Canis lupus familiaris: one gene and its partners. The main gene of each other region encodes a partner of the protein of the gene in region 2 in a complex. Links are inferred from orthologs where the notes say so. Each region holds a gene or a part of one and is shown on either strand. Other genes may lie near its edges.

Region 1 (3,644 bases), on a different chromosome or scaffold from region 2:
TCCACTAGAATGGCTATACTTACTATATAACCAGCAGTTTTACTCCAAGGTGTATCTGTCTACATGAGAAAAACGAAGACAATAGCCATAGAAAGGCTTTTTATGCAAATGTTCATAGCAGTGTTCATAATAGCCAAAAACTGAAAGGAAACTTCATAAACTGGAAAATGGATAAACTGTGTTCATAGAATGGAATACTACTCTGCAGTCAAAAAGAACAAACTACTGATGCATTAATAACCTGGATGAATCTCAAAATATCATCCTTAGTGAAAAAAGCCTGATAGAAAAGATTTGATATAGCAAAATTCCACTTATAAAATGGAATGTAGGGAGACAGGAAGCAGGATTAGTGGATGCCTGGGGATAGGAAAAGGGATTGACTACAGATGGGCACCAAGAACTTTTTGGGGATGATGGAAGTGTTCTTAACCTGCATTGTGGTGATGGTTTCACAACTGTTTGCTGATATTCATCAAACTGTATACTTAAAATGGGTTAATTTATTGTACGTGAATGATACGTCAAAGCTGTGTTTCTTCTTTAAACTTTCAAAGGTTTTAAAATTTGGAAATTTGTTTTATAAGCTATTTACTTCTCTTAGCCTGAATATATAATAAAACCTTGAAAGATGTGAATTTGAGGTATTTGATTAAGCTCATTACCAATTTTGATCTTCTGGTTCCCAGGTGTGTTTAGATGGCATCATAATTCTTTATTCTATTTTGAAGCTAATTAGACTTAATATATCTTATTTCAAAACCTATGCTGCAGGCTAGAGGTTTTAGTCTCTTTTAATTCTATGTTGGAAATAAATTTTGTCTTTGAATGATTTTCAACAGGATTTGAAGCCACAGACATTTAGAAATGCATATGACATACCAAGGCGGAATCTTTTGGATCACTTAACAAGAATGAGATCTAATCTTTTGAAGAGCACCCGCAGATTTCTTAAAGGACAGGATGAAGGTTAGATCATGGTTTTAGTAATGGTATTTTTTTTGTGAATTTCTTACTTTATATTGAAAAAATATGGTATGGGAATATAACTTTTAAAGAATTATTAGTAGTATTACATTTTCTTTTTAAATTCAAACAAATGAAGTAAGGAGTCATCTCTGATTCTCAACTTTTTTTTCTATCATCACTGTTGCCTCAAATTCTATTCCCCCGAGGTGACAATCTTTATTAGCAGCTTACTTTCTTTTCTTTGGCTTAGTTCATGCATTCACATGCACACACAAAATCATTTTCTTGTGATACACTAGTTAGTATCTGGTGGTTTAGCTTGGATGGTCAATACGTGTCCTCTTCTTTCAACAATATCTGTAGCATGTAGTACAAATCAAGTCAGATGAGAATTTAACTCTTTGCCATCTCTGATATAAGCATTCCAACTATAGCTTTATATAAAAAGGATTATCTCTGTGTATGTCTTTCCTGTAAATTTTGCTATAATTCTACTTCTTTGGAATAGAGAGAAGAGACATTCCTATTCATGGTAATGTTAACACATCATTACTTATTTTATACACTCAAATGGACTACAATATTTTTGCTTTTAGAAGATAAAGTCAATTCTTTTAAATTTTACTTTAAAAAAATCTCAAAAAGATTTCATTTTAGTCACAATATTTATAATGACAACATATGAATAGTGAGGTTAACTTTTGTTGTTGTTCTCTTCTGTTTGAAAAGATCAAGTGCACAGTGTTCCTATAGCACAAATGGGGAATTACCAGGAATACCTCAAGCAAGTACCTTCTCCACTAAGAGAACTTGATCCTGATCAGCCTCGAAGGTTGCATACATTTGGCAACCCCTTTAAGCTAGATAAGAAGGTAAACTTGAAATGTTCCATTGTATAATTCATTTGTGGATTTAACAGTTCTTAATTTAACTAAAGTAAGCTACTTTTCTTGGTAGACTAATAAATGTCAACATAGTTATAATACAGTTGCTCTAATGGGGATTGGAATTAGTTGTACCATTTAAAAACTGTATGTAAATCTAGGGAAATTATATATTTTTTTGTTACAGGGTATGATGATAGATGAAGCAGATGAATTTGTGGCTGGACCTCAAAATAAACATAAACGACCTGGAGAACCAAATATGCAAGGAATCCCTAAAAGACGTCGCTGTATGTCCCCATTACTAAGAGGCAGACAACAAAATCCAGTTGTGAACAATCATATTGGAGGAAAAGGACCACCTGTACCGATGACTCAAGCACAGCCAGATCTTATTAAACCCCTTCCTCTTCATAAAGGTAAGAATTTAAAAACAAACTTTATTTGCTGCTTTTTGTTTCTTTTGTGGGGATGAGATTTTTGTAATAGATTGTGGAAGAAATTGATTGATAAAGCCCAAGAGTGTCTAGAGAAGATACTTGTTTATTTTAAATTAGCATGTGATCATTTTGTATGTCTTTTTAAAGAACATTTGTTGGACATTTCTTATGTTTATCATGCTTTATTATAGCTAGCCATAATCTAAATACCATTTATAAGTCTGTTAAATAAAAAATTCAAAATACCGTTTACAAGTCTTAAGTATTTCAAAATAACACTTATTAAAGGGGTATTAGCAATACCCACAGAAAGATGGTTTTCAATTTCAGGTTAATTCAACAACTAATTAGGGGCACCTGAGTGGCTCCGTGGATGAGCGTCTCAGGGTGTGACCCTGGGGTCCTGGGATCAAGTGTCACATCAGGCTCCCCACAGGGAGTCTCCTTCTCCCTCTGCTTGTGTCTGTGCTTCTCTCCCTGTGTCTCTCATGAGTAAATAAAAAAAAAAAATCTTTAAAAAAAAAACAATCAACTAATTATTAAATACACGTGCTATTATGAACAGTGCTAGGCATTGAGGTATCATAGTGAACAAGACAATAGTGATCTCTGCCTTTATGATGAGTGAGGAAAGATAGTCATTGAATGTTGAGTTAGAATGTGATGAATGTTATAAAAGGTGGTAAGATGATTTAACTTAGTTTGTGAGGTCAAGACCCTTTACTGAGGAAGTTATGTTTAAGCCAACATTTAAAGGGTGAATGGGAATTGTTTCACTAAAGCTGTGCATTTAGTAGTAGTGCTAAGCAGTATGCTAGGCACTATAATATGCTACAGTAGTAGTATAAGAAAAATATGTGCAAACAAATATACAAAAGAGAAGATTATAGGAACTGAAAGAATTCCAGTTTAGCAGAGGTGTTCAGAGTCAGATAAGGTGAGAAATGAAAGATAGGCTGAGGCCAGATCATGGAGGGCCTTGGAGGCCGTCGTAAAGATTCTAGACTTTAAAGACGAGAATTTTTTTTTTTTTTAAGATTTTATTTATTCATGAGACACACAAAGAGAGGCAGAGACACAAGAGGGAGAAGGAGACTCCCTGCGGGGAGCCCGATGCAAGACTCAATCCCAGGACCCCGGGGTCACACCCTGGGCTGAAGGCTGGTACTAAACCCCTGAGCCATGCAGGTGTCTTGACAATGAGAATCTTTGAAAGATTTTGAAGAGCTAGTGACCTGACCTGATTAGCATTTTATAAAAAACAGGCCGACTGTACTGTTTGGAATATTGTTTGGGAAGAATAAGAATGGATTTAGGGGAACCCTTAGTGAATTAATGATTTCCTTAAATA
Region 2 (4,084 bases):
CTATTCCAACAGGACGCTGGGCCCCGTATCTGCTCTCTGGTCACCGCCAGTCCACGGACACAGCTGGCCATGCAGCCATGCCACGAGTGCCTTTCGCGGGTCTTCCCTGGCCCCCACACCCTGCTTCTCCTCTGAAGCTCAGCCCTGCCATGCCCGCGGGCAAGGCGGAGTCGGGTCCCTATCCGCTGACCGCTGCCTCCCTGAAGCTCGCCATCTGGCAGGGGCCTCGAGCTCAGTGTTCGCGTGCATGGCCTGCCCCTTCCTGCCGGCCGACTGCTCCATGAAGGAAGGCACCCGGCTGGCTGGTGCGGGGCTGCAGGCAGAAACCCAGGCAGTTGCTCTGGGCCTTGTTCCTGGTGCGGGGTGGGATCCCCAGGACGCCCGGATCCCCAGCCAGAAACCCCAGGACGCCCGGAAACCCCAGAGAGGAGGAGGGTGTGGGGTTCCCTGTCGCCACGGAGCCCTCACTCTTCCGCCAAAGGGACTGAGACAGGTTGCACAGCCCCACTGTGCAGTCGAGCAAACTGAGTCTGGGCTGATTGATGCCCCCCAGCCGGTTGTGATGAGGGCCCTGCCCACCCCCAGCCCTCCCTAGCTCCCTCCTCCTGCTCCACCGCAGGAACCCCAGAACCTGCCCTTCGACAGCTCAATGGGACAGCAGGACCCTGAAGACGCAGCACATCTGGACCAGAATCCTCGTGCCCCCTCTTCCCCTATCGCGTGTCCTCGGGCGCGTCACTAAGTGACGACACCTCCCCTGCCGAGAGCAGGTGCAAGACGGATCCGGGCAGCGGCGCCCCGCCGGCCTCCCGCCGCCAGAGGGCGCCGCAGGCACCGTTCAGACGTCGCGGACCCTCTTGCCTCGCTACCCCGGCCGCGCTGTTTTGCTTCCTGTTGTTCCGGAAGTTGGGGTGCCGAGGGTGGTGGAGGCGACTTCCGGTTCCGGGACGGCCGTGGCCGCGGCTCGGCACTGGGGGTGTAGGACTGTGGTGCGCGGGCCGCGGCTGGCGGCGACAGCGACCCCTGCCCGGCCGATCGGAGGCGGGGTTCGCGCGGCCCCCTCGAGTGGCTCGGCGGGGCAGGGCGGCGCGGCCCCTTCCGCCGCAGGTCCCGGGCCGCAGCGCTGACGGCCCCGGGACGAATGAATGAATGAGCCGGCGGGGGGACGGCGGACCCGGCGCCGGCCTTCCCCTCGGTGACAGCGCGGCGGCGGCGGCGGCGGCGCGGGACGGGGGACAGGATGAACCGGGCCAAGCCCGCGACCGTGCGCAGGCCCAGCGCGGCGGCCAAGCCGTCAGGTGTGCGGCCTGGGCACCCGGGGCGGGCGGCCTCCGGGTCACGGCACGCCCGAGGCCGGCGGGCTGGACTCCCTGTGCCTCGGGTCCTTCCTCTGCAACGTGAGCTGTGGAGGAGTGGGTGGACCCGCAGCTACAAGGTGGGGAGGCCGGCCTGCAGCGAGCCGGCAGGAGACCCAGCTGTGCCCTGATGACCCTTGTCTGGCCCCCTCCAGACAGCGGGGGCTGGGGGTGCAGCCCGGCCCCACCACCACCCCCGCCATGGTGTAAGGTGCACGTTTCTCCACCTCCCCTCTCTGCAGGGCACCCTCCACCGGGAGACTTCATTGCTCTGGGCTCCAAGGGTCAGGCCAATGAATCCAAAACGGCGTCCACTCTGCTGAAGCCTGCCCCTTCCGGCCTGCCTTCCGAGCGCAAGCGGGACGCTGCAGCCGCCTTGGCGGGTGCCTCGGCCCTGACCGGCCTCACCAAGCGCCCCAAGCTCTCCTCCACGCCCCCGCTGAGTGCCCTGGGGCGCCTGGCTGAGGCTGCTGTGGCAGAAAAGCGTGCTATCTCTCCGTCCATTAAAGAGCCATCTGTGGTCCCAATTGAAGGTAGAGTCAGTCCCTGGGCTTAGGTGGTGGAGATCGTGTTCCCACACAGCTGTGTGGTCTCCCCAGGGGTCAGTGAAGGCTGCCTCCAGGCCTAGCACCAGAGCTGAGCTGAGCTGGCCGTGGGTTCCCTGGAGAAGGGTTGAGCAGAGTCCATCTGGGAGTTTGTTCTGCAAAGACGCAGGCGTCTATCCTGAGTGTGCTTCCAAATCCCATCACAGACAGGGAAGCATTAATGAGACCCAAGGCAGCGTGGCACAGACGGTGGGGCCCGAACGTGCTATGGGAGCGGGTGCTGACAGGGGCAGTGAGTGCAGCGAGCCTCTGCAGCCTGGTCTTCCCGCAAAGCACAGGCATCCTGTCCTACGGCTGGGAGGTGGGAGGTGGTCGGATGGTGTCTGTCCTTGCTCTTCCTGCCCCCACGTCGTGGGGGAGCTCCTGCAGTGCCGCCAGGAACTGCTTCTTTCGTTTGCCACCTGGTTCATCTCGGGTGTTTGCTGAGCACCTCCTATGTGACGGGCTCTGTTTTCCATACTGGGGATGGGCAGAAACTGAGACCAGAGCCTGTTCATGTGGGCTCTGTGTTTTAGTGCTATCCTCTCTACGCTTCAGTAACCCCTGCAAGGCTGGAGGGTACTGTTCCTGCTATGGCCATCAGCTGGGTCGGGCCTGTGAGGTGGGCACTACCTGCCCTGCTCCCTCCCCAGCTGTGGCTGTTGTCCTCCTTGGAGGCGGGCAACCATGGCATAGCCCTGACACCCTCACTCACTAGGTCTCTGCTGGTTTGCCCTGTTGCCCCCTGACAATCAGGGGGGTGGCCTGAAGGCGGGTTCTGCTTGGGGCTGCACCCTAATAATCGGGGAGGGTCCTGAAGGCAGGTTGCTTGGGGTTGCCCCCTGACGATTGGGGTGGGGCCCCTGAAGACATGTTCTGCTTCGGGTCACCCCACAACGATGCCCTTCCTGCATCTGCCAGTGCCACCCTCCGTGCTGCTGGATGAGATCGAGGCTGCTGAGCTGGAGGGCAATGACGGCCGGATCGAGGGCGTGCTGTGTGGGGCGGTGAAGCAGCTGAAGGCCACCCGTGCCAAGCCCGATGGCGCGCTGTACCTGAGCCTCATGTATCTGGCCAAGATCAAGCCCAACATCTTTGCCACAGAGGGTGTCATTGAGGTGAGGGCTGGCTGGGTGGAGTGAGACAGGCTCTCGCTCTCTCCTCACGCCCTCCCACCCTCTCCTTCCCTCCCCTGGAAGCATGCTGGCTCTGCCCTTTGTGCAGGGCACTGCTCCCCCTGATGATGTGCCCTCTTTTGCAGGCTCTGTGCAGCCTCCTGCGGCGGGATGCCTCCATCAACTTCAAGGCCAAGGGGAACAGTCTGGTATCTGTGTTGGCCTGTAATCTACTCATGGCTGCGTATGAGGAGGATGAGAACTGGCCTGAGATCTTTGTCAAGGTGGGTCTGCCTCTCCTGAGAGGCTCCCCTGGGGCCTCTGCACTGCCTGGGGTGATGGGGGCAGAGCGCTGGACCCTCGGGAGGAAGAAGAAGCCTGCCTGAGTGTGCTATCCAGAGGCTGTGTATCTGGAGATCATGTTCTCACACACCTCTGTGGTCTCCCAGGGGTCAGTGACAGCCTGGTACGTCTGTCTCTTGCCTTGGTCGCCGGGGAGGTCGGCCTGGGAGCCGCCTCCCTACTCCCTGCTGCCCCAGGCAGCTGAAGACACTTGGGGAAGCATCTGTCTTGGGAGCAGAAGGGGTGGGCAGAAGTGAACTGCCCAGCAGGGGCCTGGAGTATGGATTTTATCACGTGCAGGTGTACATCGAAGACTCCTTGGGGGAGCGGATCTGGGTGGACAGCCCGCACTGCAAGACCTTTGTGGACAACATCCAGACAGCATTTAACACCAAGATGCCTCCCAAGAGCATGCTTCTGCAGGGGGAGGTGGGGCGCAGCGGCGGGGATCTCAGTGCTGGTAAGGGACGCTAGCTGGCTGGGCTGGGGAGAGGACAGAATGTTCCTAAGGGAAGGGCTGGGGTCGTCTCCCTCCACAGAGCCCGCTGTTGGGGGTGGGTACTCGTGGAACAGTCGGGGGGTATGTCCACAAGTGGCTTGGTCTACAGGGAGCAGCCCTCATCCTTCCCTCACGGAGGAGGAGGACAGCCAGACGGAGCTCCTGATCGCTGAGGAGAAGCTCAGCCCT
Region 3 (4,299 bases), on a different chromosome or scaffold from region 2:
CTCATCACAGATTTGTTTTTAAAGTTAGACCTCTTAAAATAAGGTCTTCAGGTAGAACTCAAACATGATTTCACGTTGTGAGTATGCCTTAAGGCAATCCTCTTAGTAGCGTATACTCCCCACCAGGCAGTTAAATTAAAAAAAAAAAAAAAACTCAACATGGCTTAAAGTTTGATTTATTAAATATGACAGCAAATCATTCAGTTGTATTTGTAAGAGAATTTATTTTCACAGTATTCAATGACCATGTTTACAAATCGCCACATTCTTGCCAGCTTTTTCATTTTTCTCTAATACTTTTTCTATAGGGAGGCTTGGAAAAAGAACTACGCTATTAAAAATCAATAACTTAGCACAAGATAGATTATCAAACGGTAACATTCAAGAATTTAGGACAAGAAATGGGATCCCGGGCTCAAGAATAAAGGGATTAAAAAACAAGTCACCTCATTCCAAACGAGGTGGAGTTGAGGCGGGAAATACGGGTGTTCGTGAACGTTTCCGAAACCGAAGCAATCTTTCATGCAAGTCAAACTTTCTACTCAAACTCGAACTTGTTTAAGACCGAACTGAAACGCTGCTTTGACAGTGTAAAAGAAAAACAGCCGCAAACGACGCAAGTCCTCTGGAGCAACTGTTCAGCAGTCCTCACGTACAACTGCTTTCTCTAACCGGGAAGGCACGGAATAAAATGCTAAGTGTCAAAGAGAGAGGGGGAAGGAAAAAAAAAAAAAAAAAGTTAAAGCGTGCCAAAAAGGTCTTAAAGCGACACTTAGCAGCAAACGGCAAACGACTCCACGGACTCCTGCAAAGAGAAGCTGCTCTAGTCCCCATCAGCAGAGGGAGCCACGGGGACTGGCCCTGGGAAACCTGGGAAGGGGCCCGGGGCCCTCCACCAGCTCCCTCAGAGGCTGTGACCGCCCAGGAGGGGCCCAGCGCTGGAGAAAGCTCGGGACACTCACTGCAAGCCCTTGCCTCTCCCGCCCCCCCGCCTCCTCCCCATCCCCGTCTCGCAGCATCAGCCGGGTCGCCTCCGGATGCAAAGAGCAGTCGCGGGGGGGGGGGGGGGGGGGTCAGGGGGACCGCGGAGTCCGCAGCCTGAGCTCCCTCCTTACCTGGTCGCAGAGGCGCGGCCAGGCAGGGAGGGTGCGTGAGTGTGTCAGCGACACGAGCCGCCTGCGCCTTCCCACCCCGCGTGAGTTTTCCGAGGCAGCTTCTGCGAGTCTTCGCCCACGGACCGCGGGCGGCCAGAGAGGCCGGGAAGGGGCACGCGGCAGGCACGCCGTCTTGGAAACAGCCGCGTCCGCCGTCATTCATAATCCGGCGGACCGGAAGCCGGGGTTACGTCACTTCCCGCCGTGGCACAGCCGAAAACTTCCCCCCTTCACGGCGCGGCAGGAACCTTTGTTTCCCCGTAGTCGGAGCCGGCGAGTTCCGGGAGCGGTTCGGAAGGGGCCCCCGGGAACGGACGGAGCAGCGGGGCGGAGCGGTGAGTTGTGACGAGCTCCCCGGCTCCCAGCCGCCTCTGGGAGGCTCGAGACCTCCGCGAGGGGCGAGGCGGGAGAGGAGCTTCGTGGGGTCTTAGTTCCCTGGCTGCTGAGGGGGCAGCGTCGTCACTGGCGGGCGGCCGCGCGCCCGGGCTGACTGCCCTCTCCCTGCGGCGGGGCGGGGGCGGGGGCGGGGGCGGGGGGTGGTGCCGAGCCTCCTCCTGCAGTGCTGTGGGCTGGGGCTCTCCGGCTCGGCTCGGCCCGGCCCGGCCCCGGGGACTGGTCCCTGCAGCCCGGTGCCCGACCTTCCCCGCAGGGTTTTGGCGACTTCTCTGGGCAGCTCCCTCCTTCCGCCTCGCCTGTCCTCTCGGACTTGCTCCTCGAAGACCTTCTCCCGTGCTAGGCCTGCGGTGTCCTGCTTTGATCAAAGGACTGACATCCCTTTTCTGAGCGTCTTCGGCCCCTTTTTTTTTTTTTTTTTTTTTTTTAAATTTTTATTTATTTATGATAGTTACAGAGAGAGAGAGAGAGAGGCAGAGACACAGGCAGAGGGAGAAGCAGGCTCCATGCACCGGGAGCCCGATGTGGGATTCGATCCCGGGTCTCCAGGATCACGCCCTGGGCCAAAGGCAGGCGCCAAACCGCTGCGCCACCAGGGATCCCATTCGGCCCCTTTTTTTCAGCTTCTCTTGTCACTCGGTTGGTTTGGAGTCGTGGTCCTTCCGTTTCCCCTGCGTTTCCAGACATGTCCCTAAGATATCAGTGTAACCCAGGGCCGAGAATTCAGTAGAGGACTGAAACGGGCAGCAGCTTTAAAAGATTTTTTTTTTAATCTTTTTTTTAAAAAAGGCTGTTTTTGCAAGAGCTTCCAAAGACATGAAAGGGCAAAGCTTGCTAGAGCTGGTAGGAGATGGCAACCCTAATATTGCACTCGGTGTGAATAGGTGGTTTCCTTTATCTTGTGTCCTTGCACGTGCAGATGATCAACTCTGGACTTTTTTTTTTTTTTTTTAGATTTTATTTATATATTCACACAGAGAGAGGCAGAGACACCGGCAGAGGGAGAAGCAGGCTCCCTGCGCGGAGCCCCATGCGGGGACTCCATCCCAGGACCCCCGGGGTCACAACCTGAGCCAAAGGCAGATGCTCAACCCCTGAGCCACGCAGGTGTCCCAACTCCGGACTGTTTTTTTAAAAAAAAAGATTAGCATGTAGAATGAGAAATTGGGGATTTGGGGAAAGCATTGTGAATATCCAGTTTCGGTGGGAAAGATCACAGAAGCCCCAGAAAGTGATTTTTAAATAAAACCTAGTTCATTCACTCAGTAAATATTTTTGAGAGGCTAAGTTTCGAACCCTAGATACATAACTGAATAAAATAAGTTTCTTGCCCTCATGAAGTTACAGTCCAGTGTAATTAATGAAGGTAAAGCCAGGTAAAGGATTGGGAAGAGAGTGAGTACTGCAGAGAGGAACATTGTACAAGTCTCTAGTCATCAAAGAGGTGACTTTTGTTTATGTTTCTTTTACTGTTGCTTTTTTGATGTTTGAGAGGTTTGGTGGAGGCGCAGGAGGTACAGGGAAGATGGGTTTGCGTTTCTTACTGCTCTTTGCAAAGGGACTTTGTAAATTGGTTAGAATTGTGTAGGAGGGAAAAGACCATTACACTTTACTTTGATCCCTAATAATTCTAATAGCTGTTATTTTATGGTACTTTGCAAGGTAGCCATGTGATAGTAAAAAAGAAATGTAGAATCTCCTCCCTTAAAGTACTCAATAGTTTTATAGGGAATATAACTCTTGTGCAAAACAACAACAAAAGTATGGCTCAAGGTAGAAAGTCCTAGTACCACCAGAAAGCAGTATGATGTATCCTGGGAGGGAGAGATTTTTAGTAGTGTTTGGGATGGATAAGGACACACCAGCAGTGAAGAATCCACATGAGAAATAATATTTGAACATAAAATTTAGACATCTAAAAAATGGGTAAAAAGCTTCCCGGACAGAGAAAAAATAAGCAGAGGTGTCAAGACAAGCGAATGGCTCTTCTGTATAAGAATTAAGTTTTTGTGCCAGTGAGAGTCTTTTCAGAATTGGGCTTTATTTTGAAGACAGTAGGAAGTTTTAATTTTTTTGAAGATTTTATTCATTCTTGAGAGACAAGAGAGACCTAGGCAGAGGGAGAAGCAGGTTTGCAAGGAGCCCAGTGTGGGACTTGATCTCAGATCGCGGGATCACGCCCTGAGCCAAAGACAGACACTCAACCACAGAGCCCCCTAGGCATCCCAGGAAGTTTTAATTTTTGAGGAAGAAAATGAAAAAGAAAGAAGAAATGTGTTTTGGGAACATGAGTATAGCTGTAGTGCTGAAGTCAAGGAGAATAGCTACATTACTGCTATACCACAAAACTTAAAAGACATGAATTGGAGTAGTAGCAGTGGAAGTGAAAAATGGAACAAATGTGAGGAATGTTGCAAAGTACCATAGGGAAGGCCTACTGATTTTTTGGTTATACAGAATAAGAGAGGATTTAGTGAGGGAAGGATTTAGGCCTCAGACTAGATTAGCAGAGAGTTGTGTCATTCATTGAAAAAGTACAGGACAAACTTTTGGGAGAAAGTATTCATAATCTCAATTTTAGCCATAACTGAATTTGAGATACCATTAGGGCAACCAGGTAGACATATCTACTAAGCAATTGGAAATGTGGGATTTGAGCCTAAGTGAGATTGGTGTGGTGATAAAAATGAAATCATCTGCCTAGAGATGGTAGTTAAAAACATGATCTATAGAAGATAACCAAGGAAGAAAT

What was found.
Region 1: INTS1 (region 2) and INTS6 share a complex: the UniProt entries of both Homo sapiens proteins name them as parts of the integrator complex. The link is inferred for Canis lupus familiaris from reciprocal best matches to the Homo sapiens genes INTS1 and INTS6.
Region 3: INTS1 (region 2) and INTS12 share a complex: the UniProt entries of both Homo sapiens proteins name them as parts of the integrator complex. The link is inferred for Canis lupus familiaris from reciprocal best matches to the Homo sapiens genes INTS1 and INTS12.

The regions. Positions count from the first base shown.
Region 1 is NC_049243.1:595,077-598,720, forward strand, and holds part of INTS6 (integrator complex subunit 6), read left to right. Parts: intron 1-842; coding exon 843-969; intron 970-1,698; coding exon 1,699-1,841; intron 1,842-2,040; coding exon 2,041-2,272; intron 2,273-3,644. UniProt on the Homo sapiens protein: Component of the integrator complex, a multiprotein complex that terminates RNA polymerase II (Pol II) transcription in the promoter-proximal region of genes.
Region 2 is NC_049227.1:15,594,898-15,598,981, forward strand, and holds the start of INTS1 (integrator complex subunit 1), read left to right. Parts: upstream 1-1,146; 5' UTR 1,147-1,240; coding exon 1,241-1,298; intron 1,299-1,597; coding exon 1,598-1,888; intron 1,889-2,860; coding exon 2,861-3,057; intron 3,058-3,200; coding exon 3,201-3,338; intron 3,339-3,696; coding exon 3,697-3,856; intron 3,857-4,004; coding exon 4,005-4,084. UniProt on the Homo sapiens protein: Component of the integrator complex, a multiprotein complex that terminates RNA polymerase II (Pol II) transcription in the promoter-proximal region of genes.
Region 3 is NC_049253.1:13,347,359-13,351,657, forward strand, and holds the start of INTS12 (integrator complex subunit 12), read left to right. Parts: upstream 1-1,355; 5' UTR 1,356-1,489; exon of another isoform or gene 1,490-1,656; intron 1,657-4,299. UniProt on the Homo sapiens protein: Component of the integrator complex, a multiprotein complex that terminates RNA polymerase II (Pol II) transcription in the promoter-proximal region of genes.